Elephas maximus indicus: one gene and its partners. The protein of the gene in region 3 interacts with the protein of the main gene of each other region in a biochemical or structural test. Links are inferred from orthologs where the notes say so. Each region holds a gene or a part of one and is shown on either strand. Other genes may lie near its edges.

The links. The genes of interacting proteins can lie anywhere in the genome.
Region 1: of the proteins of EID1 (region 3) and FBXO21, one has a biochemical effect on the other in vitro, tested with the Homo sapiens proteins (2 studies listed by BioGRID, with this or other methods). The link is inferred for Elephas maximus indicus from reciprocal best matches to the Homo sapiens genes EID1 and FBXO21.
Region 2: the proteins of EID1 (region 3) and NR0B2 form a complex in vitro, tested with the Homo sapiens proteins (3 studies listed by BioGRID). The link is inferred for Elephas maximus indicus from reciprocal best matches to the Homo sapiens genes EID1 and NR0B2.

What each region holds. Positions count from the first base shown.
Region 1 is NC_064840.1:14,886,200-14,893,776, reverse strand, and holds the start of FBXO21 (F-box only protein 21), read left to right. Parts: upstream 1-4,573; 5' UTR 4,574-4,607; coding exon 4,608-4,846; intron 4,847-5,766; coding exon 5,767-5,902; intron 5,903-7,577. UniProt on the Homo sapiens protein: Substrate-recognition component of the SCF (SKP1-CUL1-F-box protein)-type E3 ubiquitin ligase complex.
Region 2 is NC_064821.1:67,348,307-67,355,017, reverse strand, and holds NR0B2 (nuclear receptor subfamily 0 group B member 2), read left to right. Parts: upstream 1-4,090; 5' UTR 4,091-4,117; coding exon 4,118-4,658; intron 4,659-5,657; coding exon 5,658-5,899; 3' UTR 5,900-6,207; downstream 6,208-6,711. UniProt on the Homo sapiens protein: Transcriptional regulator that acts as a negative regulator of receptor-dependent signaling pathways. Specifically inhibits transactivation of the nuclear receptor with which it interacts.
Region 3 is NC_064828.1:6,458,851-6,466,794, reverse strand, and holds EID1 (EP300-interacting inhibitor of differentiation 1), read left to right. Parts: upstream 1-4,943; 5' UTR 4,944-5,026; coding exon 5,027-5,590; 3' UTR 5,591-7,790; downstream 7,791-7,944. UniProt on the Homo sapiens protein: Interacts with RB1 and EP300 and acts as a repressor of MYOD1 transactivation. Inhibits EP300 and CBP histone acetyltransferase activity.

The DNA.
Region 1 (7,577 bases), on a different chromosome or scaffold from region 3:
TAACTGATGTATATGTATTGTTTCATTTAATAGGAAGGCCTATCATGATACCCATTTTACAGGTGAGGAGACTGAGGCCCAGAGAAGTGAAACTCTACTGGGCATTTGGTTATGAATGATGAGGGAAAGAGAGGAGGCAGGGATGGCTACAACTTTCTGTTCTGCAAGAAAAAGGTGGATGGGTAACCCTTTCCTAAAGCAGGAACCACTGGGGGAGGACAAGGTGAAGTTGAGGGGAAAGAGTTACCTCCTGGAGAGACTGATTTTGAGCGGCCCAAAGGGAATGTCAGGTCAGCAGTTGGCTAAGAGAGTTTAGATGTTACAAGAGCAGGCTGGGTGGAAGAGAGAAACGTGAAGGTTTAAATTGGGTTTGGATTGTCATTTGGGTTGTAGACAGGGGTGATATGGTCAGAAGAGAGAGTGAAAGAGGGGGCCTGCACCCGAGGAATTCCAACACGTGACATCTGGGTGAGGTGGGAGGACCAAGAGAAGGTGGGGCCACAGATGCCAAGGCAAACCAGTGTTTCCAGAAGGTCCAGAGGGAGCAGGGTAGTAAACAGAGTCAGCTACTGCTAGAGGGAAGGCAAGAGCAAGGCCAGAAAACATCTACTGGATTTAAAGGTGGTGAAGGCCCAGACTCTCCCCCAGCTCTGCCTGACTGCCGGAGCTGCCCCACACTTTTCTGCTTTCATGAGAGTAGAAGCTGTAGTAGCAGAAATAGTAGTAACACACTTTTTTTTTTTAATTGAGGTCAAATCCACATAACAAAAAATTAACCATTTTAAAGTGAACTGGTCAGTGGCACTTAGTACTCTCACAATGTTGTGCAACTAACGCCACCTCTATCTAGTTCCCAAACTTTTCCATCACCCCCAAAATCAAACCCGGAAAAAAACAATTCAAATTCACCTGAAAAGACCGGACTTACTGGTCTGACAGAGACTGGAGGAACTCCCAGAACTATAGCCCCCGACACTCCACTAACCCAGAACTGAAACCATTCCCGAAGGCCAATTTTCAGACAAAGATTAGACAGGCCTATAAAACAAAAAATAATACATGTGTGGAATGTGCTTCTTAGTTCAATCAGATATACGAGACCAAATGGGCAGCTCCTGTCCAAAAGCTGGACGGATGAGAAGGCAGGAAGGGACAGGGACTAGAAGAACAGACATGAGGAACCCAGGGTAGAAAGGGGGAGCATGCTGGCACACTGTGGGGATTGCAACCAATCTCATAAAACAATGTGTGTATAAATTTTTGAATGAGAAATTAACTTGAGTTGTAAACTTTCACGTAAAGCACAATAAAAAGAAAAAACAAGACCAGACTTACTGGCCAGATGGAGTCTGGAGAGACCCTGTGACTACGGCCCCCAGACACCATTTTAACTCAAGACTAAAGTCACTTCTGGAGCTCACCGTTAGCCAAAGATTAGACAGGTCTATAAAACAAACAATAACACACTTGAGGAACATGCTTTGTAGTTCAATCGTGTATACAAGATGGACACACCATCCCCAAAGCAAAGATGAGAAGGCAGGAAGGGACAGGAGAGCTGGACGAATGGAAATGGGGAACCCGGGGTGGAGAAAGGGAGAGTGTTGACACATCTCAGGGTTGGCAACTAATGTCACGAAACAATTTGTGTATTAGTTGTTTTATGAGAAACTAATTTGCTCTGTAAACTTTTACCTACCCGTAACCCATTGCTGTCGTGTCGATTCTGATTCAAACCGACCCTATAGGACAGGGTAGAGCTACCTCATAGCGTTTCCACGGAGCGCCTGGTGGATTCGAACTGCCAACCTTGTGGTCGGCAGCTGTTAACTCTTAACCACTATGCCACTAGGGTTTCTAAACTTTCACCTAAAGCACAATAAATAAATAATAAAACCCAGTACCCATTAAGCGTTTTCTCCCCATTTCCTCATAATAGGCTTTTTTTTTTTTATTTTAATTGTGCTTTAGGTGAAGGTTTGCAGCTCAAGTTAATTTCTCATACAGGAGTTTATACACACATTGTTATGTGACCCTAGTTGGTATCCCTGTAATGTGACAGCACACTCCTCCTTTCCACCCTGGGTTTCTAATGTCCATTCAACCAGCTCCTGTCCCTTTCTGCCTTCTCATCCGGCCTCCAGACAGGAGCTGCCCATTTTGTCTCGTGTACCTCCTTGAACAAAGAAGCACACTCTTCAATGTAACAGACTTTTATCGAGCACTTTCTGTGTGCCAGGCACTGTTCTACATACTACACATGAATTTACTCATTTAATCCTCACAACAGCCCCAGGGGGCAGACATTATTACCCATTGTTGTGGAGTCAAATTCCGACTCATAGAGACCCTATAGAACAGAGTAGAACTGCCCATAGGGTTTCCAAGGTTGTGATTTTTACAGAACCAGACTGCCACATCTTTCTCCCATGGAGCAGCTGGTGGGTTCAAACTACCAACCTTTTGTTTAGCAGCTGAGCACTTAACCACTGTGCCACCAGGCTCGGTTTCCTCATCTGTAATTAGTATCCCCATTTTACAGATGAGGAAACTGAGCCTTAGAAAGGCTACGTAACTTGGTCTAGTCACACAGCTGGTTAGACAAACACAATCGACAGGTAATTATTGAGAATCTGCTATGTACGTATGTGCCAGGCCTGTGCCCGGTAACTGGGCATCCAGAGGTGATTCAAACAGACATGGCCTTGATTCTGAAATCGCTTCTGATGCAAGTTGAACAAATAGGTATTAATAACTACACGACTGCAAAGTGCTGGGAAAGAGCTGTATTTGGTGTGTGGGAGGGAGGTGAGTGAGGGAAGGGGGGACATCCAGGGAGGTTAAACTGAGGACTAGAGTGCTCTGCTGCTAACGGAGAGGTTGGCGGTTTGAACCCACCCAGCAGCTCTACGAGAGAAAAGACCTGGCAATCTGCTCCTATAAGGATAACAGCTTAGAAAACCCTCCGGGGCAGTTCTACTGGGTTCTATAGGACAGGGCTTCCAACCGTGGTTCAACCCCCTGCCGAGAATTTGCATTCCCATTCCAGATTTTCTGAGTCAGAATCTACAGTTTAACAAGATCCCCAGGTGATTGTATTTACTAAATCTGGTTTGGAAATGCAAATTCTCAGCAGGGGTTTGAAATGGAATATAGCCCCTTGGAAGCCCTGCTATAAGGTAGCTATGAGTCAGAAGCAACTCCATGGCACCTAATGACTACAGAGGAAGAGGAAGAACAGCTAGAAGAAGGAGTGCTGTGCTGGCTTGAAGTACATTCCGGGCAGAGGAATAGAATGTGTGTCAAGGCCAGAAGGGGGAGGAAAGAGAAGACCAGTCTGGCTGTGTGTGGCTGCTGCGGGAGAGAATGGCTGGATAGAGGCAAGGAGTAGTAGACAGGGGTTTGTCCCTTTGCAACAATGTCAGGGGTTTCAGATTTATTTCTAAGGGCAGTAGGGAGCCATAGATGGCTCTATCCCATCCACTAAGAGGGACATTACTAGTTCAACTCTCTGTGCATCCTGATTTCCAGGTTAGGGGGAGTTCTCTACGGCAGCCTCCATGTACTGACAACAGACCTGCTTGTCCTCCCTAATTGGACCTTGAGCTCCTGGGGCAAAGAACTCTGTCTTACTCACCTCGGTATCCCCAGGGCACACAGCACAGGGCCTGGCACTGAACTGAGTTGAATTAAGAAAAGAAGTTGTAGGCACTGAGAAGAGTACCCACCTACATCTGAGTGGTAATCCCTGCTTTGAAGGTTGAAACCCAGGCTATACCACTGTTTATCTCTGACTTTGAGCCAACCCCATTATGAGCCTTGTTTTCCTTATCTGTAGAATGGGCATAATCAAGGTACCTATCCCATAGGGCTCGAATGAGGAGCCCTCGAAAACATATATGGAAAGCGCTTGGCACTTTTTTGTGATTATTACAGCATACTGGTTAAGAACACAGTAAAGCAGAAGTCAAGAGAATGTGGATTAGAACCCAGAGCAAGGGGTCCCAAGCAAACAGTTTACCTCCTTGAGCCTCAGTTTCCTCACCGGTGATTTGGGATGAGGGATAATAATAGTTCATGTGGTTGTTGGGACAAGAAGCCCTGGCGGTGCAATGGTTAGCTCAGCTGCTAACGGAAAGGTCAGCTGTTTTAACCCACCAGCCATTCCGCGGGAGAAAGAGCTGGTGATCTATTTCCGTAAAGATTACAGTCTAGGAAACCCTATAGGGCAGTTCTCCCCTGTCACATGGGGTTCCCAGGAATCGGAATCCTCCCCGCCCCCTACTGCCCCCAACAACAACATGGTTGTTGGGAAGGTCCCATCAGCTAATGCACAGGAGGTGTTCGGCATACATATAAGAAAGATGGCTGCTATTCTTATTGCCCCTGAATAGAGGGCTAGAGACCCTTCACAGGTCCTGGACACAGCACGTTTTCCCAGACCGCTTCCTTCACTGGCCGCTCCCGCAGCGCAGAGCAACCCCCGGCCCGGCCTGTGGCCACGAGTGGGCGGGGCGATCTGGGGCCCGCCCCCTGAGGCGGGTGGGCGGGGCGAAGCGGGGCGCCCTGGCGCGCGCGCACGCGGCGGCCCCAGGTACGCGGACAAGATGGCGGCGGCAGTGGTCGACAGCGCGATGGAGGTGGTGCCGGTGCTGGCGGAGGAGGCCGCGCCGGACGCGGCGGGACTCAGCTGCCTGGTCAACCTGCCGGGCGAGGTGCTGGAGTACATACTGTGCAGCGGCTCGCTGACGGCCGCCGACATCGGCCGCGTCTCCAGCACCTGCCGGCGGCTGCGCGAGCTATGCCAGAGTAGCGGGAAGGTGTGGAAGGAGCAGTTCCGGGTGAGGTGAGCCCGCGGCCCCGGCCGCCAGCCCGCCCCGGCCCCGCCTCCGGGCTCCACGACCCTCCCCGCGTCCCCGAGCCCGCGGCCCGCAGTCCCGGCCCTGCGCCCCCAGGACCCCGGGCCTGCCGGGCCTCAGCCGCCCCCTCCCTCCCTGCGGCCGCCGCACCAGGACCCCACCCCCGGCCCCTTTCCCGCGGACGGACAGACAAACAAAGGCCTCCAGGCCGCTAGCCCCGCGGGTCTACGCCGCTGCGGACCCTCCGGTGCCCAAATTGCGCATCTGGAAGTGCCAGCAGACTGGCCCTCCATGAAGGATGACGATGGCGGTGTCACCGCTAATCCAGTTTGCGCGCTTCTTTTGTGCCCGAGTCTGTGCTAAAATGTTTACACGGATCGGGGAACGCAGTGGTCCTAACAGCCCTTGGAGGAAGCGAGCGCAACATCCCCTGGTTGTTCGTTGAGAGCAGATTTCAATGTTGGACCCGGGATAAAATCTCGGCCCTGCCACTTACTCGCTCATGACCTTGGGAGAAGTGACTTCCCTTTTTCTGAGCCTTATTCGTGGACTTTTGAATGGTGATGATAATGAGACCTGCCTCTTAGAGTGGTTTCTAAATAAGATGATGTGTGGGAAGCCCTTACATTAGGGCCCAGCTCTTAGAAGGCGCCCAATACATGTTACTTGTTGTTATTGTTGGTGCTACTATTGTCCCCATTTTATAGATGGGGAATGGAGACAGCAGTGATGTCACTTCGCCAAGGTCACACCAGGAGTGAGTGCCTGAGTGCGGCCCTGGTGGAGGTTTGAATTAGAGCCAGGGTCCCTTAATCACTACTGACCCATACTGCTGCCACCCAGGTTCCCCAGGCTGCCTTTGCAATCCCAAGTCTCTTAAGCTGAGAGGGTGTTTCTCTCCTTGTAGGTGGCCTTCCCTTATGAAACACTACAGCCCCACCGACTACGTCAATTGGTTGGAGGAATATAAAGTTCGACAGAAAGCAGGGTTAGAAGCCCGGAAGATTGTAGCCTCATTTTCAAAGAGGTTCTTTTCAGAGCACGTAAGGATCCGTTGATGGAGTACTAACCCTTTGCCTGGTAGTCCTGTATGTCTGGGTCTGTAGGAATTAGCTCATCCAGTTCTTTTTGATTATCTTCCTTTTCAGCTCTCACAAGCCCAGACTCAGATGGCTCCAAGAGTCATTGTGTGCTTTTCCTGCTATCCACCAACATGAAGTCATTTGTCCCTGCTTGACAAAAGCGTTACTTTTCTAAAGCCAGAGAGAGAATGGGGATGGAGGCGGTAGGGAGGGGGACACGAAGCACAACGTGGAGGGACTCCAGATTGGCATTATTGCTTGTCAAATGGGTTGAACATGTTTTTTGCAGTCTCCTCGTAATTTGGGGGATCATCGATGATTGAGCACTACAGATTTCCACCAGTTGTTTTTCCAGAAGGGTGGATGAAATTAATTGGGTTCTCCTCTCTGGCTTTGCAGATTCTAACCGTTAGTGAACTGCTTTGTTTGTTTAAAGTAACAGAAGGATTAAAAGCTATACATAAATCAGTTATTATTCCCGCAATAAAATTATCTTGCAATCATTATTCCTTTTAAGTTTAAAAAAAAAAAAATTGCTGAAATGCGTGGTTTTTTGTTGTTTTTTTTTCCCCCTTCTTCAAGATGTCTCGTGAAATTTCTCTATCACTAGCTCCTAACTCATACCTTTTTGAAACTCAGGAAAATAACCCACAGCGATATTATAAATTCACCAAACTGTTAGATAATTTATTTCAATTTGGGCTCTAGACACAGAGCCAATCTAATTTATTTTACTATCCCGATTTACTGAAGATTAATTCCTATTTTCTAAGTTTTTATTGCTGCTAATTGAGTTCATAAATTTGAAGTGTTTTGAAGACTTCAAGTTTTGAAAGGAGAAATTTGAACTTTGGGCAAATTTCAACTTCCCCCATGGAAACTAGAAATAGATACTCTCTAGTATAATTCACTTCCATAAATGTTGATTTATATTAGAATGAACAAAATTTAGTTCCACTTTGGAGAAGCCACGACCTGGCTGAAGGCACTCATCATCAGAAATTTAAGTTCTGGCTGAAATGGATTTGTGCACACATGTATCTCTCTGCTATGTGTTTGATGCACTTGGCCATGGGTTACTAGTTTACAGCCTCAACGTCTAGGCCAGCTGGTTTTGTGTTCATTTTTAACAGCCTGTGCGTTTCTGTGATGATGATGACTTACCGTTATCGTTAGACCTGAAGCGAGGACTTTGAATATAGCAGGAGTATGCTTAAAACCGATGGATGGGTGCGTGCTCACTGTGGTTCAGGACCCTGTGTTCTTAGCACGCACCCAGGTTGATCTGAAACTTCCTGGCTACTTTCAAAAAGAAAAGTGGTGGAAGTAATAGAGTATTAAACTGAGGGGGCCTTACAGCTCACATGTAATATCACCTCCATTTACAAAGGAGAAAACAATGTTAAGGAAGTTGCCTAAAGTGCTCTTCTTATCTCTCTAGCCTGCCCCTCCTAGTTGACTACGATGTAGAAGGCTGGAAATAGTTACGTTGAATTCTGAGATTTTGTGTTTGTAGTCCCCCTGTGAGAGCGATCTAATTTTCTTCACCTTAAAACAGTTTCAGAAATTTCAGTCTGTGAAAACATAGTTAATATACAAGTAACAGCAAGATCTGAATATATCATTGTTACTTTCC
Region 2 (6,711 bases), on a different chromosome or scaffold from region 3:
GTCAAAGTTGTGAAAGACCAGGACAGACTGAGGGGCTTTTCCACACTGCCAGAGACTAAAGAGCCATGACAAATAAATGCAATGTAAGATCCTGGACCGAGTCCTCTCAGTGCCACAGATTTCTCTGGGGCATTTGGTGAAATTAAAATGTGGTTTAAGATTAGCTGGTGGTACAGATTGAGTTGTGTCCCCCAAAAAGATATATTGAAGTCTTAACCCTGGAGCCTGTCACTGTTTGGAAATAGGGTCTTCGAAGATGTCATCAGTTAAATTAACATGACGTCATAGTGGAGTAGGGTGGGTCCTAATCCAATCTGATGGATGTCTTTATAAAAGAGAAGAGACACAGTGAGACAGAGGAAAAACTCCCTTGTAAAGATGCATTTACACACCAAGGAATTCCTGGGGCTACCAGAAGCTGGAAAAGACAAGAAAGGAAATTCCCCTAGGGACTTCATAGACTATGGCCCTGTTGACACCCTGAATTCGGACTACTAAACTCCAGAACTGTGATGCAAATAATTTCTGTTCTTATAAATCACCCAATTTCTGCTCTTATAAATCACCTTGTCAACACCCTGAATTTGGACTACTAACCTCCAGAAGTGTGACACAACTAATTTCTGTTCTTATAAATCACCCAATTTGTGGTGTCTTATTGCAGCGCTAGGAAACTAATACAGATGTTCAATGTTCAATGTTCAGTGTTAATTTCCTGATTTTTGTGGTTTTATTGTGGTTTGTAGGAGAAAGTATGTGGCTATTTCCTGATTTTGCCTTATATTACAGGGAATTATGGGACATGAGATTGACAAATTACTCTCAAATGGTTCAGGGGAAAAAAACTTCCCTGTACTGTACTTCCAACTTTTCCATAAGTTTGTGATTGTTTTGAAATAAAAGCAAATAAATCATTGACATGTGAAGAGGTGAACAAAGAGTGTGTAGCTAAAAATTGTAGGCAAAAAAAATTTTGGATATAGTGGTGATAGTTGTACAACATTGTGGATGTAATTAATGCCACTGAATTGTATGTTTAAAAATGGTTAAAATGGCAAATTCTATGTTATATATGTTTCACCACAATTTAAAAATATGTAGGCAGATATTATCAGGAAATTTGTTAATAAAAATATCTTGCTATTCTCCTGGGTTTGTTTGTGTTTTCTGTCAGTTTATTTTAAATTTATAATTCGTAGCAATTTGTTTTCGCATGCTTAATATTCACATTGATATCTAATTTTCTCTTCTTAAAGAGGACCCTGCAATTTGTATAAGACGTTCTAAGCCCCATAAAACCAGTATCCACCTCTGGCCATTCTTGCCACTATTTTAAAGAGGAGGAAACTGAGGCACAGAAAGATAAAGTGATTTACCCAAGGTCACTCAGCTAGGAAGTGATGCAGCAGGATTTGAACCTAGGCAATCTATCTCCAGAATCTCCTCCAGTGGGATGCAGTGAGGATCCAGCGAGATAAAAGGACATGACAGGAACTTTATAAATTCAAGGAACCAAGATTATTCACAATTAAATGAAAGATGTGTGCCTGTTTTTCTGCAGGTATTTAGTTCCTTAGGCAGAGGAAAAGGGGAGTAAAGTCCCCCTACTGTGTGCCAGAAGCTGCTTGGAACTTGAAATCAGGATTTCATTTTGTCCTCACAGCAGCTCTGCTGGCAGGTATTATTGCCCCAAATGAGGTGCCGGGGGCCCACAGAGGACACACAGCCAGAATGTGATGGAGCCCGGAGCAGATGCCCAGGCTAGGTGGTGACAGCACGTATCTCTCCCTTCCCAGGGTAGCAGGCTGCCCTATACTCTGAAAGCAAAAGGTTTGCCAGGCTGAGCTTGCCCAGGTGCAGGGATGTGACACAGGTGAGGACCTCCTCACCTCCTCCCCCACCCCACACCCCACCGTGAGACAGATGCCCAGGACAGAGGAGTCATGTTGTGGGCAGGGCAATATTTCTGCCCAGAGCACAAGTGGGCATCACCTGCAGACCCAGCAGCAGCAAAGTGGGTGCTCACCCAGGTAGCCACCAGCTCTGGTTGCATGATTGGACCAGTGGCTGAAGGGAACAAACAAGGACTTCCCAGTCAGACAGATCTGGGCTCTGTCCCTTCCTAGCTGCGTGACCTTGGGCAAATGGCTTCACCTCTTTAAGTCTCACAAAGTAAAAATCTTGCCCCATAAGGAAGTTCTGAATATTAGAGTGCAAAGTACCTGGCATGTAGTAGGTGCTCAGTAAATGGCAGCCATGTTTTATTATTAATCTGTGAGGGCTTCTCAGCAGATGTGGCTTTTTGGGAGCTCAGAGAATCCAGGCTGGGGAGAGGGAATTCTAAAGGAGCTTATTTCTGCAGGCCCCTCTCTGAGTCACCTAGTGCTGCTATAACTGAAATACCACAAGTGGATGGCTTTAACAAAGAGAAATTTATTTTCTCACAGTCTAGTTGGTTACAAGTCCAAATTCAGGGTGTTGGCTCCAGAGGAAGGTCCTTGTCCTTAACCTTCCCATGGTTGAGGAGCTTCTCAGGTGCAGGGACCCGTGTTTAAAAGACTCACTCTGCTCCTGGTGCTGCTTTCTTGGTGGCATGAGGTCCTCAACTCTCTGCTTGCTTCCCTTTCCTTTTATCTTAAGAGATAAAAGGTGGACATAAACCAGAGACTACATCAGCCTGAGACCAGAAGAACTAGATGGCACCTGGCTACAACCGATGACTGCCCTGACAGGGAACACAACAGAGAACCCCTGAGAGAGCAGGAAAGCAGTGGGATGCAGATCTCAAATTCTTGTAAAAAAGACCAGACTTAATGATCTGACTGAGACTAGAAGGACCCCAGAGGTCATGGTCCCCAGACCTTCTGTTAGCCCAAGACAGGAACCATTCCCAAAGCCAACTCTTCAGACAGGGATTGAACCGGACTATGGGATAGAAAATGATACTGGTGAAGAGTAAGCTTCTTGGATCAAGTAGACACATGAGACTATGTGGGCAGTTCCTGTCTGGATGGGAGATGAGAGGGCAGAGGGGGTCAGAAGCTGGCCAAATGGACACAAAAATAGAGAGTGAAGGGAAGAGTGTGCTGTCTCATTAGGGGGAGAGCAATTAGGAGTATATAGTAAGGTGTATATAAATTTTTGTCTGAGAGACTGACTTGATTTGTAAGCTTTCACTTAAAAAAAAAAAAAAAAAGCACAATAAAAATTAAAAAAGAGAGAGATAAAAGGTAGTGTAGGCCACGCCCCAGGGAAACTCCCTTTACAGTGGATCAGGGAGGTGACCTGAGTAAGGGTGGTGTTACAATTCTGCCCTAATCCTCTTAACATCAAATTACAACCACAAAATGGAGGACAACCACACAATACTGGGAATCATGGCCTGACCAAGTTGACACAAATTTTTTGGGGGACACAATTCAATCCATGACAGGCCCCCAGAGCTGGAGTCAGGGAAGGGGCCTCTAGATAGTGGGCACAGTCCTCCAGCCTCCCAGGGTCCTGGCTCCCTCCCCCACTGCCTGTTACTTACCAACAACAGGCTCAGGGCCCCAAGGTTAGACAAACAAGCCAGCGATAAGGCATTTCCAGGTTGGGCTTGCGTTCAAGGCTTGCGCAGCTCTGGGCTGGCTGCCTGGCTTAGTGAGAGCCCTGGTCTTGCGTGCACACAAGAGCAGGGCACCAGTAGGGACACCTGCCATGGTCACCTGCTGATTGCGCACCTGAGGCCTTGGTGCCCTGGTACAGCCTGGGTTAATGACCCTGTTTATCCGCTTGAGTCGCCTGATAAGGGGCAGTGGGGTCAGCTGGCAGGCGGCCTTGTGCCCTGCACCGGCCCTTTCATTGACAGAAGTGATATCAGTGCCACATGGAGCACCCACTGTGCCCCTCCCCTGCCACTTCCCTGTCAGTCCTGCCAGGGTCAGTGTGTGTGTGTGTGTGTGTGTGTGTGTGTGTGTGTGTGTGTGTGTGTGTGTGTGTGTTTTTCAATGAACATGACTCCAGGAGTCAAGGTTGTCTGGGCATTCCCCCCTCCCGCCCTCGGGGATATAAATAGCACCCACAGCTCAGAGCAGAGGGCGGGAGAGCTAGGAAGAAGGAGAAACAGATCCCAACCATGAGCTCCAGCCAGCCAGCGGCCTGCCCATGCCAGGGTGCTGCCGGCCGCCCAGCCATCCTGCATGCACTCCTGAGCCCTAGCCTCAGGGCCAGGCCCTTCGTCCCCCCAACTCATAGCCGCTGCCTGTGCCAGCAGCACAAGCCTGTCCGCCTGTGTACTCCCCACCGTACCTGCCAAGAGGCCTTGGATGTTCTGGGCAAGACGGTGGCCTTCCTTAAGAACCTGCCATCCTTCTGCCAGCTGCCCCCCCAGGATCAGCGGCGGCTGCTGCGGGACTGCTGGGGTCCACTCTTCCTGCTTGGGCTGGCCCAAGACACTGTGACCTTCGAGGTGGCCGAGGTCCCAGTGGCCAGCATACTCAAGAAGATCCTGCTGGAGGAGCCTGGTAGCAGTGGCAGCAGCAGTCAGCTTCCTGACAGGCCCCAGCCCTCCCTGGCTGCAGTACAGTGGCTTCAGTGCTGCCTGGAGTCCTTCTGGAGCCTGGAGCTGGGCCCCAAAGAGTATGCCTACCTGAAAAAGACCATCCTCTTCAACCCTGGTGAGCCTCCGGACACTCTTGGAGGGATGGGTCAAGGCTTGGGGTAGGGGGAGGTGGATAAGGCTCATCCAGGGAAGGCACCTTCTAAGGGCTTGACATCCTTTATCTCATTGGGTCCATATTATCATTAAATACTCATCTCAGTGAAGAGGCCCACAGAGGCTAGGTGACTTGTTGAAGGTCATGCAGCCAGGTAGGGGCAAGACAGGGATCAGGAACTCAGGTCTATTCGCTCCAGAGACTGGCCCTTGTTACTCTGTACCCAAAATGTTTCCCTACCCTTAGGGAAGGCAGGAATGGGGTGAGAACGGGCAGATGCAGCTGTGTTTCGATCCCATCTCCAGGGGCAGACCGTGTAGTAAGCTTCTCTGAAGGTAGAACTCCGTGGGTTCAGAAAAACCACATAGAAGGGAGGAACAAAGGGCGTGTTCGGGAGAGGGAGGGAGTCTTAGTGACACTCACCAGGACAGCACCAGTTGGAGATACAAGCAAAAAGTTGGAGATAGGGCTCTTTTAATCTGGAGAGCATCTGAGATGAGAGTTCCCCACCAAAGGGCCTCACAGAATGCTTACTTACAGTAATTCATTATAATAATAGTAGTGAATGCTCATATTATACTTACTGTATGTTAGGCCCTATTCTAGGGGTTTTACATACACTAGCTCATTTAAACCTCAAAATAAGCCTATGAACTAGGTACTATTACTTCCATTTTACAGATAGGGAAAACTGAGGCACAGAGATGAGGTAACTTGCTTAAGGTCACATAGCTTATAATTGACAGCACTGGGATTCAAACCCAAGCAGCTCTTAACCATTACTTTATACTGCCCCTCTATACATAGATGGATGAATAAAGTGAGCAACGAATAGGAGGAGGTCATGACTGGGCCTCAAAGGCTGAGCAAAGGAGGCAGAGAGGTGTCTGCTGGCAGCCTTGCCCTTTGATGGCTGGGAGTGGGGTGCTCACCAGTCCTTTTCACCCTGTCTGCCCACAGATGTGCCAGGCCTCCTCGCCCCCTCCCACATTGGGTACCTACAGCAGGAGGCTCACCAGGCGCTGTGTGAGGTCCTGGAGGCCTGGTGGCCAATAGGCCAAGGCCGATTGGCCCGGATCCTCCTCATGGCCTCCACCCTCAAGTCCATCCCACCTGGCCTGCTTGGGGACCTCTTTTTTCGCCCTGTCATTGGAGACGTCGACATGGCTGGCCTTCTAGAGGACATGCTTTTGCTGAGCTGACTTGCTCCGGCCCAGGCAGAGATCAGGTGTAGGCTGGGCAGAGGTTAGCAGCACTGACTCAGCCTGGCTGACCCCAGGAGTCACCCAGTGCTTCTGAAGGGGGCAAGCCTATATAGACAGCAAGCCACGCCTAGTCTAGCCAGATGGGCTATGGGACCTTCACTCAGCTCCACCCTGCCTTGGCTTCTTTGGTTTGGACACAGTGCTCCAGCTGTCTGGCTAGCCCTTGGTGGTCCCCAGGGCCTCTGGCCCAAGACTACTCTCCTGTCTGGGATGAGAATGGACACTTAGGCTGCTCGTTGGGCCAAAAGTCTACTGCCTTGTACAGAACTCACTTAAGTTATTGGTTTTTGTAATAAAAGGTATGACACCCTCAGAGTCTGATACTGTAGTTTGTGCGTGTGGAAGGGACCATCTCACCTCCAGGGTCCATCCTGCCCCTTTCAGAGGGAGTCCGGGGGGAAGGAGCCATAACAGGTACAGGAGCTGGGCCTTGGGGAATTGAGGTATTAATTTTTCAGGATGGCTTGATGATTTCATTTTCTGGGAAGATTTATTTTGCATCTGGGTCTGAACTCAGGGGACAGGATTAGTTCAAAACCCCCGTACCTCCTTGGTTTTATCCTTGGAGCAGGGGCTTCTCCCCCATCCCCAAACCCCCACTGACTCCTTCTCTGGTCCTTACCCCCTACAGGTTCCCACTCCCCTCACTAAGAGTCTGATCATAGCCAATCAGGCAAATGAAGCAGCCCATTCCCAAGTTGAAACAGACAAGGCCTCTGGAACTGCTATAGTAGAATAATTCACTTTCC
Region 3 (7,944 bases):
GGACACAGCAAAAACAGTGCTCAGAGGTCAATTGATAGCAATAAATGCACATGTACAAAAAGAAGAAAGGGCCAAAATCAATACATTAACCCTACAACTCAAACAAATAGAAAGAGAGCAGCAAAAGAAGCCCTCGGGCACAAGAAGAAAGCAAATAATAAAAAAAATTAGAGCAAACTTACATGAAATAGAGAATAGAAAAACAACTGAAGGAATTAACAAGACCAAAAGCTGGCTCTTTGAAATTAAAAAAAAAACTGACAGACCATTGGCCAAACTGACAAAACAAAAACAGGAGAGGAAGCAAATAACCCAAATAAGGTATGAGATGGGCGATATCACAACAAACCCAACTGAAATTAAAACAGAATACTATGAAAAATTGTACTCCAACAAATTTGAAAACCTAGAGGAAATGGACAAATTTGTAGAAACAAACTACGTACTTAAACTCTCACAAACAGAGGTGCAACAACTAAATAAACCTATAATAAAAAAGGAGAGAGAGACTGAAAAAGTAACTTTAAAACTCCCAACAACAACAAAAAACGCCTTGGCATTGATGGCTTCACTGGAGAATGCTACCAAACTTTTGGAGAACAGTTAATTCCACTACTACTAAAGGTTTATCAGAGCATAGAAAAGGATGGAATACTCCCAAACTCATTCTATGAAGCCAGCACAACCTTGATACCAAAACCAGGTAAAGACACCACAAAAAACAAAAATTACAGACCTATATCCCTCATGAACATAGATGCAAAAATCCTCAACAAAATACTAGCCAATACAACTCAACAAAATACCAAAAAAATAATTCACCATGACCAAGTGGGATTCATACCAGGTATGTGAGGATGCTTCAACATTAGAAAAACAATTAATGTAATCCATCACATAAATAAAACAAAAGACAAGAACCACATCATCTTATCAATTGATGCAGAAAAGGCATTTGACAAAGTCCAACACCCATTCATGATAAAAACTCTCAGCAAAACAGGAACAGAAGGGAAATTCCTCAACATAACAAAGGGCATTTATACAAAGCCAACAGCCAACATCATCCTAAATGGAGACAGTATAAAAGCATTCCCCTTGAGAACATGAAACCAGACAAGGATGCCCTTTATCACCACTCTTTTTCACCATTGTGTTGGAGGTCCCAGCCAGAGCAATTAGGCTAGAAAAAGACATAAAGGGCATCCAAATTGGTAAGGAAGAAGTAAAACTATCTGATCGTACACACAGAAAACCCCAAGGAATCCACAAGAAAACTACTGGAACTAAAACCAGACTTCAGCAAAGTGTTGGGATACAAGATAAACACACAAAAATAAGTTGGATTCCTCTACATCAACAAAGAGAACTTCAAAGAGGAAATCACCAAATCAATACTATTTACAGTAGCCCCCAAGAGGATAAAATACTTAGGAATAAATCTAATGAGAGAAGTAAATGACCTACACAAAGAAAACTACAAGACATTACTGCAAGAAACCAAAAGAGCCCTATATAAGTGGAAAAACATACCTTGCTTATAGATACCCAGTATCCAGTGCCCTCGAGTTGATTCTGACTCATAGCGACCCTTATAGATAGGAAGACTCAATATTGTGAAAACATCAGTTCTACCCAGAGCCATCTACAAACACGATGCAACTGCCATCCAAATTCCAACGACATTTTTTGATGAAATGGAGAAACAAATCACCAGCCTTATATGGAAAGGGAAAAGGCCCTGGATAAGTAAAGCATTACTGAAGAAGAAGAACAAAGTGGGAGGCCTCACACTACCTGATTTCAGAACCTATTACATCGCCACGGTAGTAAAAACAGCCTGGTACTGGTACAACAATGGATACATAGACCAATGGAACAGAATTGAGAATCCAGATGTAAATTCTTTCACCTCTGAGTAGCTAAAACTTGACAAAAGCCCAAAGTCCCTTAAATGGGGAAAACACAGTCTCTTTAACAAATGGTGCTGGCACAACTGGATATTCACCAGCAAAAAAATGAAACAAGACTCATACCTTACACCATGCACAAAAACTAACTCGAAATGTATCAAAGACCTAAATATAAAATCTAAAACGATAAAGATCACGGAAGAAAAAAATAGGGACAATGCTAGGAGCCATGGCACATGACATAAACAGAACATAAAACATTACTAGCAATGCACAAACACCAGAAGAAAAACTAGATAACTGAGAAAAAAAAGACTTCACCAAAAGAATAAAAAGACTACCTACAGACTGGGAAAAAATTTTCAGCTATGAAAATTCCCATCATCATCTAATCTTTAAAATCTACAAGATACTGCAAAACCTCAACTACAAAAAGACAAATCACCCAATTAAAAAATGGGCAAAGGATATGAACAGGCACTTCACTAAAGAAGATATTCAGGCAGCTCACAGATACACGAAGAAATGCTCACGATCATTAACTATTAGATAAATGCAAATCAAAACTACAATGAGAAACCATCTCATACCAACAAGGCTAGCATTAACTCAAAAAAATGCAAAATAATAAATGTTGGAGAGGTTGTGGAGAGACTGGAACACTTACACACTGCTGGTGTGAATGTAAAATGGTACAACCACTTTGAAAATCAATTTGGCGCTTCCTTCAAAAGCTAGAAATACCATACAACCCAGCAATTCCACTCCTTAGAATATATCCTAGAGAAATAAAAGCTGTCACAGGAATAGATTTATGCACACCCGTGTTCACTGCAGCACCGTTCACAATAGCAAAAAGATGGAAACAACCTAGGCGCCCATCAAATTATGGCACATTCACACAATGGAATACCATGCAACGATAAAGAACAATGATGGATCTGTGAAACATAATATGGATGAATCTGGAAGGTATTATGCTAAGTGAAATTAGTCACAAAAGGGCAAATATTGTATGAGACCACTATTTTAAGAAACCAAGAAAAGGTTTAAACAGAAGAAAACATTCTTCGATGGCTGGAGGGGCGGAGGGAGAGAGGTATTCACTAACTAGATAGTAAACCACCAAAACCGACAAGAATTATCTTAGCTGAAGGGAAGGACAACACACAATACAAGGCAAATCAGCACACTGGACTGAAACAAAAGCTACGAAGTTTCCTGAATACAACCCAACACTCTGAAGGAGAGAGTATCAGGGACAGGGGTGTAGGGCCATGGTTTCAGGGCACATCTAGTTGCATAACCAAGTTTATTAAGAAAATGTTCTGCATTCCAGTTTGGTGAGTGGCGTCTGGGGTCTTAAAAGCTTATGAGCAGCCATCTAAGATGCATCAATTGATCCCAACCCACATAGAGCAAAGAAAGATGAAGAACAACAAAGACACTAGGAAAATATTAGCCCAAGAGACAAAAGGGCCACATAACCCAGAGATGCTATCAGCCTAAGGCCAGAAGAACTAGGTGGTGCCCAGTTACCACCAATGACTGCCCTGACAGGGAACACAACAGAGAGTTCCTGAGGGAGCCGGAGAAAGGCAGGGTGCTGAACTCAAATCCACCTAAAAAGATCTGACTGAGACTGGAGGAACCCCGGAAAACAGGGCCCCTGGACTGTTAACCTAGAACTAAAATCATTCCTGAAGCCAAACCTTCATGCAAAGATCAGACTGGACTCTAGGACATAAAATGATTGCTGTGAAGAAAGTGCTTCTTAGTTCAAGTAGATACAGGAGACTAAACGGGCAACTCCTTTCCAGAGGCGAGATGAGAAGGCAGAAAGAGATGGCAGCTGGTTGAACGGACACAGGAAAGCCGGGGTGGCAAGGAGGAGTGTGTGACACATTAGACGGGTCACAGAACAATGTGTGTATAAATTTTTGTATGAGAAACTAATTTGAGCTGTAAACTTTCACTTAAAGCACAATCAAAAAAAAAAAAAAACAACTCAGTGGAGTACAGGTCTACTCTGACACACACTGGGCGGCCACAAATCAAAATCAACTCTACTATAGCAACTGATTTATACATACCCTACAATACTGCCTTTCCACTCCTAGGTATTGACTCTAGGGAAACACTGGCACATTGGATAAATGGTTATAATATTTTAAAAAATCTAAAAATATTTGCCCATTGTTAGGTCAAGTATAGCATATCTATCCAATAGAATGCTGTGCAAAAATAAAGTGGTATGTGTACGCATACTGACGAAGCTAAATTGTCCAGGCTTTTTTAGAGGACGTTACGTGAAATATGTAAAAACGCACACACATAGAAAATAATATATTCTCCAAAGGGACATAAAGATCCATATACATGCAAAAAGTGGATTGGAAGAACACACACCGAATTGATATTCGTAGAAAGTTACCTCCTGGAGAAAACGACGATGAATTTTTCTTCAGTGGTACTTAGGGAAAACCCAATACACAGGTACTTACTCTTTGTGAATTTAAGGTATTTTTAAGTGACGAAAACAGAAAAGCAGAACGCATACATAAGCTAGATCAGTGGTCGAGAATACAGTCTAGCTTGGAGAAGTAGGAGTCGGATCGACTCCACGGGGTGTGTGTCTGTGTGTCTGCGTGTCTGTGTGAAATGTGGCGCTTAAACCCAAGGCCGCGAACCCTTGAGAACAGCTGTGATTGCCTGGGGACGGGGGTTGGGAGGAGGAGACGCCGGAGGAGCGGGGGGAAGAGCGGGAGGAGGGTGAAGTGCTGTCACGAAGGCAGCGGGGCGTTCAACTCCGCAGCACCACAAGCGGCGGAACGGCTAAGCAGGGCAAAGACAGTCGTGCCCCTGCACGCACAGTCTCTCGGTGTGAAGTTCGAATCCACCGACGCGCAGACGTCAGGCCGCTCGGACTCCCAACGTTGTCTCCGAAGACCCGCCAGCGGCCCCCACCCCAGCAGCGCCCCAGGCGGAGGCGGCAGCCGCAGAGCCGCGCATGCGTACGGGGCTACGCACCCGCAGAGCGTTTGCGCAAGCGCAGCGCCGCGTCTCTCCGCGCTCGCTGGGGACGCTTGGCTAGCGTGTGAGCGGCTGCAATCATGGCGGAGATGTCCGAGCTGTCCGAGCTGTACGAGGAGAGCCCTGACCTGCAGATGGACGTGATGTCTGGCGACAGCGACCCTCCGCAGATGGAGGTAGGCAGCGGGAGCCGCGAGCCGTCGCCGAGCCCCGCCCGCCCCGGGGCCGTGCCGCAGCTGGAGGAGGAAGGCCCGATGGAGGAGGGGGAGGCCCCGCCGATGGCCGGGGCGGCGGGCCTGGCGGGCGGGCGCGGCGGCGGGGAGCAGCCCGGGCCGGCGGCCGCCGACGGGGAGAGCGGGGACGAGGGCGAGGAACTGGACGACTGGGAGGACGACTACGACTACCCCGAGGAGCAGCAGCTCCGGGGTGCCGGCTACAGGGTGTCGGCGGCCCTGGAAGAAGCCAACAAGCTGTTCCTGCGAACGTCCGGAGCCAGGGAGGCCGCCCTGGACGGCGGGTTTCAGGTGCAGTACGAGAAGACCCCGTTTGATCAGTTGGCGTTTATCGAAGAGCTCTTTTCCCTGATGGTTGTCAATCGTCTGACCGAGGAACTCGGCTGTGATGAGATGATCGATAGGGAGTAAGCAAAGGCTGGTGGAAGAGGGAGGAGAGACCCAGCATCCCATTATTTTTTGGGTTCATTCGAAATAGCTCCGTGCCAATGCAACACTTGATCTTCAAAAACAAAAAACATTGTGTTCATTTTGTAGAAGAGGATAGGACAGTGACTGCACAGTTGTGAGAAACGAAGAGAATCGCCAAGAAGGAAGGGCCTGCGGACTGTTGAGAAATGTTTTCAAGAATGCCCCGAAACACCCATGCCTTTGACTTTGCTATTAATCCAGATTGTTTCCCTTGTGTTGGGAAAATAGCTTTCATATCGGCTGCACAGCAAGGGATGGCTTTGCAAGAACAGGGAATGACCAAGACGAACTGCCAGTAAAAGAGCCCACTGATAGTACCTGTCTGATGAGAAAGAACAACGAAAATGTCCAGCGTGGGACACAAGATGTCTTTGAATTATTTGGACTGGAAGCCTATTGAGAAAACTTTGAAAATTCTGATTTTGTGACCTATTCAAGTCGTAGTTATCAAACGCTAAATTATTACTGTAACATAAATTGAGTTGTTTTCAGTATCTCAAAAAGATGAGCAAATCCAAAAATATCACATGTGCTGTATCTTTAAATGTGTTTCCAGAGCATCTTAATTTTGTTTATATATGTATCTTGATCATTTATAAAGCTACGATGGTCTATACAAGAAAATCCATGTCGTGACCACTTTAAACGGTAAAAAATTAAGACCTCTTTCATTAACAATTTTAGACAGTATGTTACTGAAAGTACAAAAAAATAATTTCTAACACTCTTATACACAGGGGAAATTTCTGTTTTGTTCCTCTCTCACTTAACAGGCAAAAGATTTTAGTTGAAATTAATACTATAAGAACTGTGGGTGCAAATTGTAACGTAAGAGGAAAGTTGTACATCTAAAAAAATTGAACAATTATGTTATTAATCTTCTAAAGGTTTTAAACCTGCCCAGAAATCCACTTCAGTATCTGAGGTTTCCCTCTCTCTCCTCCTCTAATTAAGCTTGTTATTTGTAATGCACCAGCATTCCAGATAATAAAATTTCTTGTTCTGTGTACTTTGTTTGGCTAATAGTATTGCACTTTTTATTGTATGAATTACTGCAACCACTTAATGATTTAAATTTAACCAGTATTTATAAGGGAAAGCATCCAGCTTCAGATACCTGATGCACAGATTAAGTTGTGGAAAGCAAACTGAGTAAATTAAGTATTGCCAACCTAGGAAAACCTGCAGTGTCAGTGAGCATGCTGCTGTGTTTATTAAGATCCTGAAGTTCCAGGAGGAAAAACTGTTAGAAGGCTGCACCCAGTAAAAACAGGATCAGCAGGCTCTGTGATGACTAGTAAAATTACCTGATGTTCCCGCTTCACTAGAGCGATAAAGGCACGTCCAGTACCACAGGACAACTCGGCTTTATTTATGTTAGTCACCCTGTTCTTTGGGAAGGGGGTTCTTTTCTGTAAAATATAAGACTGACCATTAAGTAAGGATGGTCACGATCACTCAAACAGTAGCCTGGTGGGGTAAGGAGAGGGGACAGACAGGAGGTAAAACATTGGCGTTTATACATTTTAATCCTGCTGCCTCTCAGCTCTTCCACTGCTTTCTCAAATAGCCTGTAGCTGCAGTCAAATGCATCTGTAAATGATTACGCAATATAAATTAACAGTGCTCTGAAAAAAAAAAAAAAGAATGGCAGTACACAATAAACGCCAGTTGCATTTACCTCCAAATAAAGGCTCAGGAAAAAACAGCTGTGCGAACTGGGAGGTTATGCTTCTTTTTCCCTCTCAGACTGAGCAGGGAGCAAGGAGGATGGGGAGAAAACCCACATTCCCTGTTGAGTTTGAAGACAGCTTAAGAAGAAAGACCTGGGCTCTGCAACTGGTTAGTGGTTTTAAAAATAGGAAGTAACCTGAGAGACCACTGAAAATGATTAATATTTACTGAAGATGGAAAATGGCAACATTTTAACGCCCCTTTTAGGGGTGTAAAAATCACATTTCTTTTAAATTTTGGAGTTCTCACAGACTGGAATCAGAGTACTTGGTTCAAATTTGGGCCCCACTACTTACTGGGTCTGTAACTGGGTAAGTTATTTCTCTACTTTAAAGTCCTTAACTGAATATGGGTGTAATAATTGCATGTACCTTATAAATTGGCCATTTAATGGAAATTAAAGGTGTTCTGAGGAAACCATGGTCCTGATTTGGGGGACGGAGTGGGTGGAAGGAACTCGGACAACCTTATGAGTGCATAATATGATTTGGGGAGGGTTTTCTACACCTATCCATAACCTATTCAAGCCGATTCTGACTCCTAGCAACACTACAGGACAG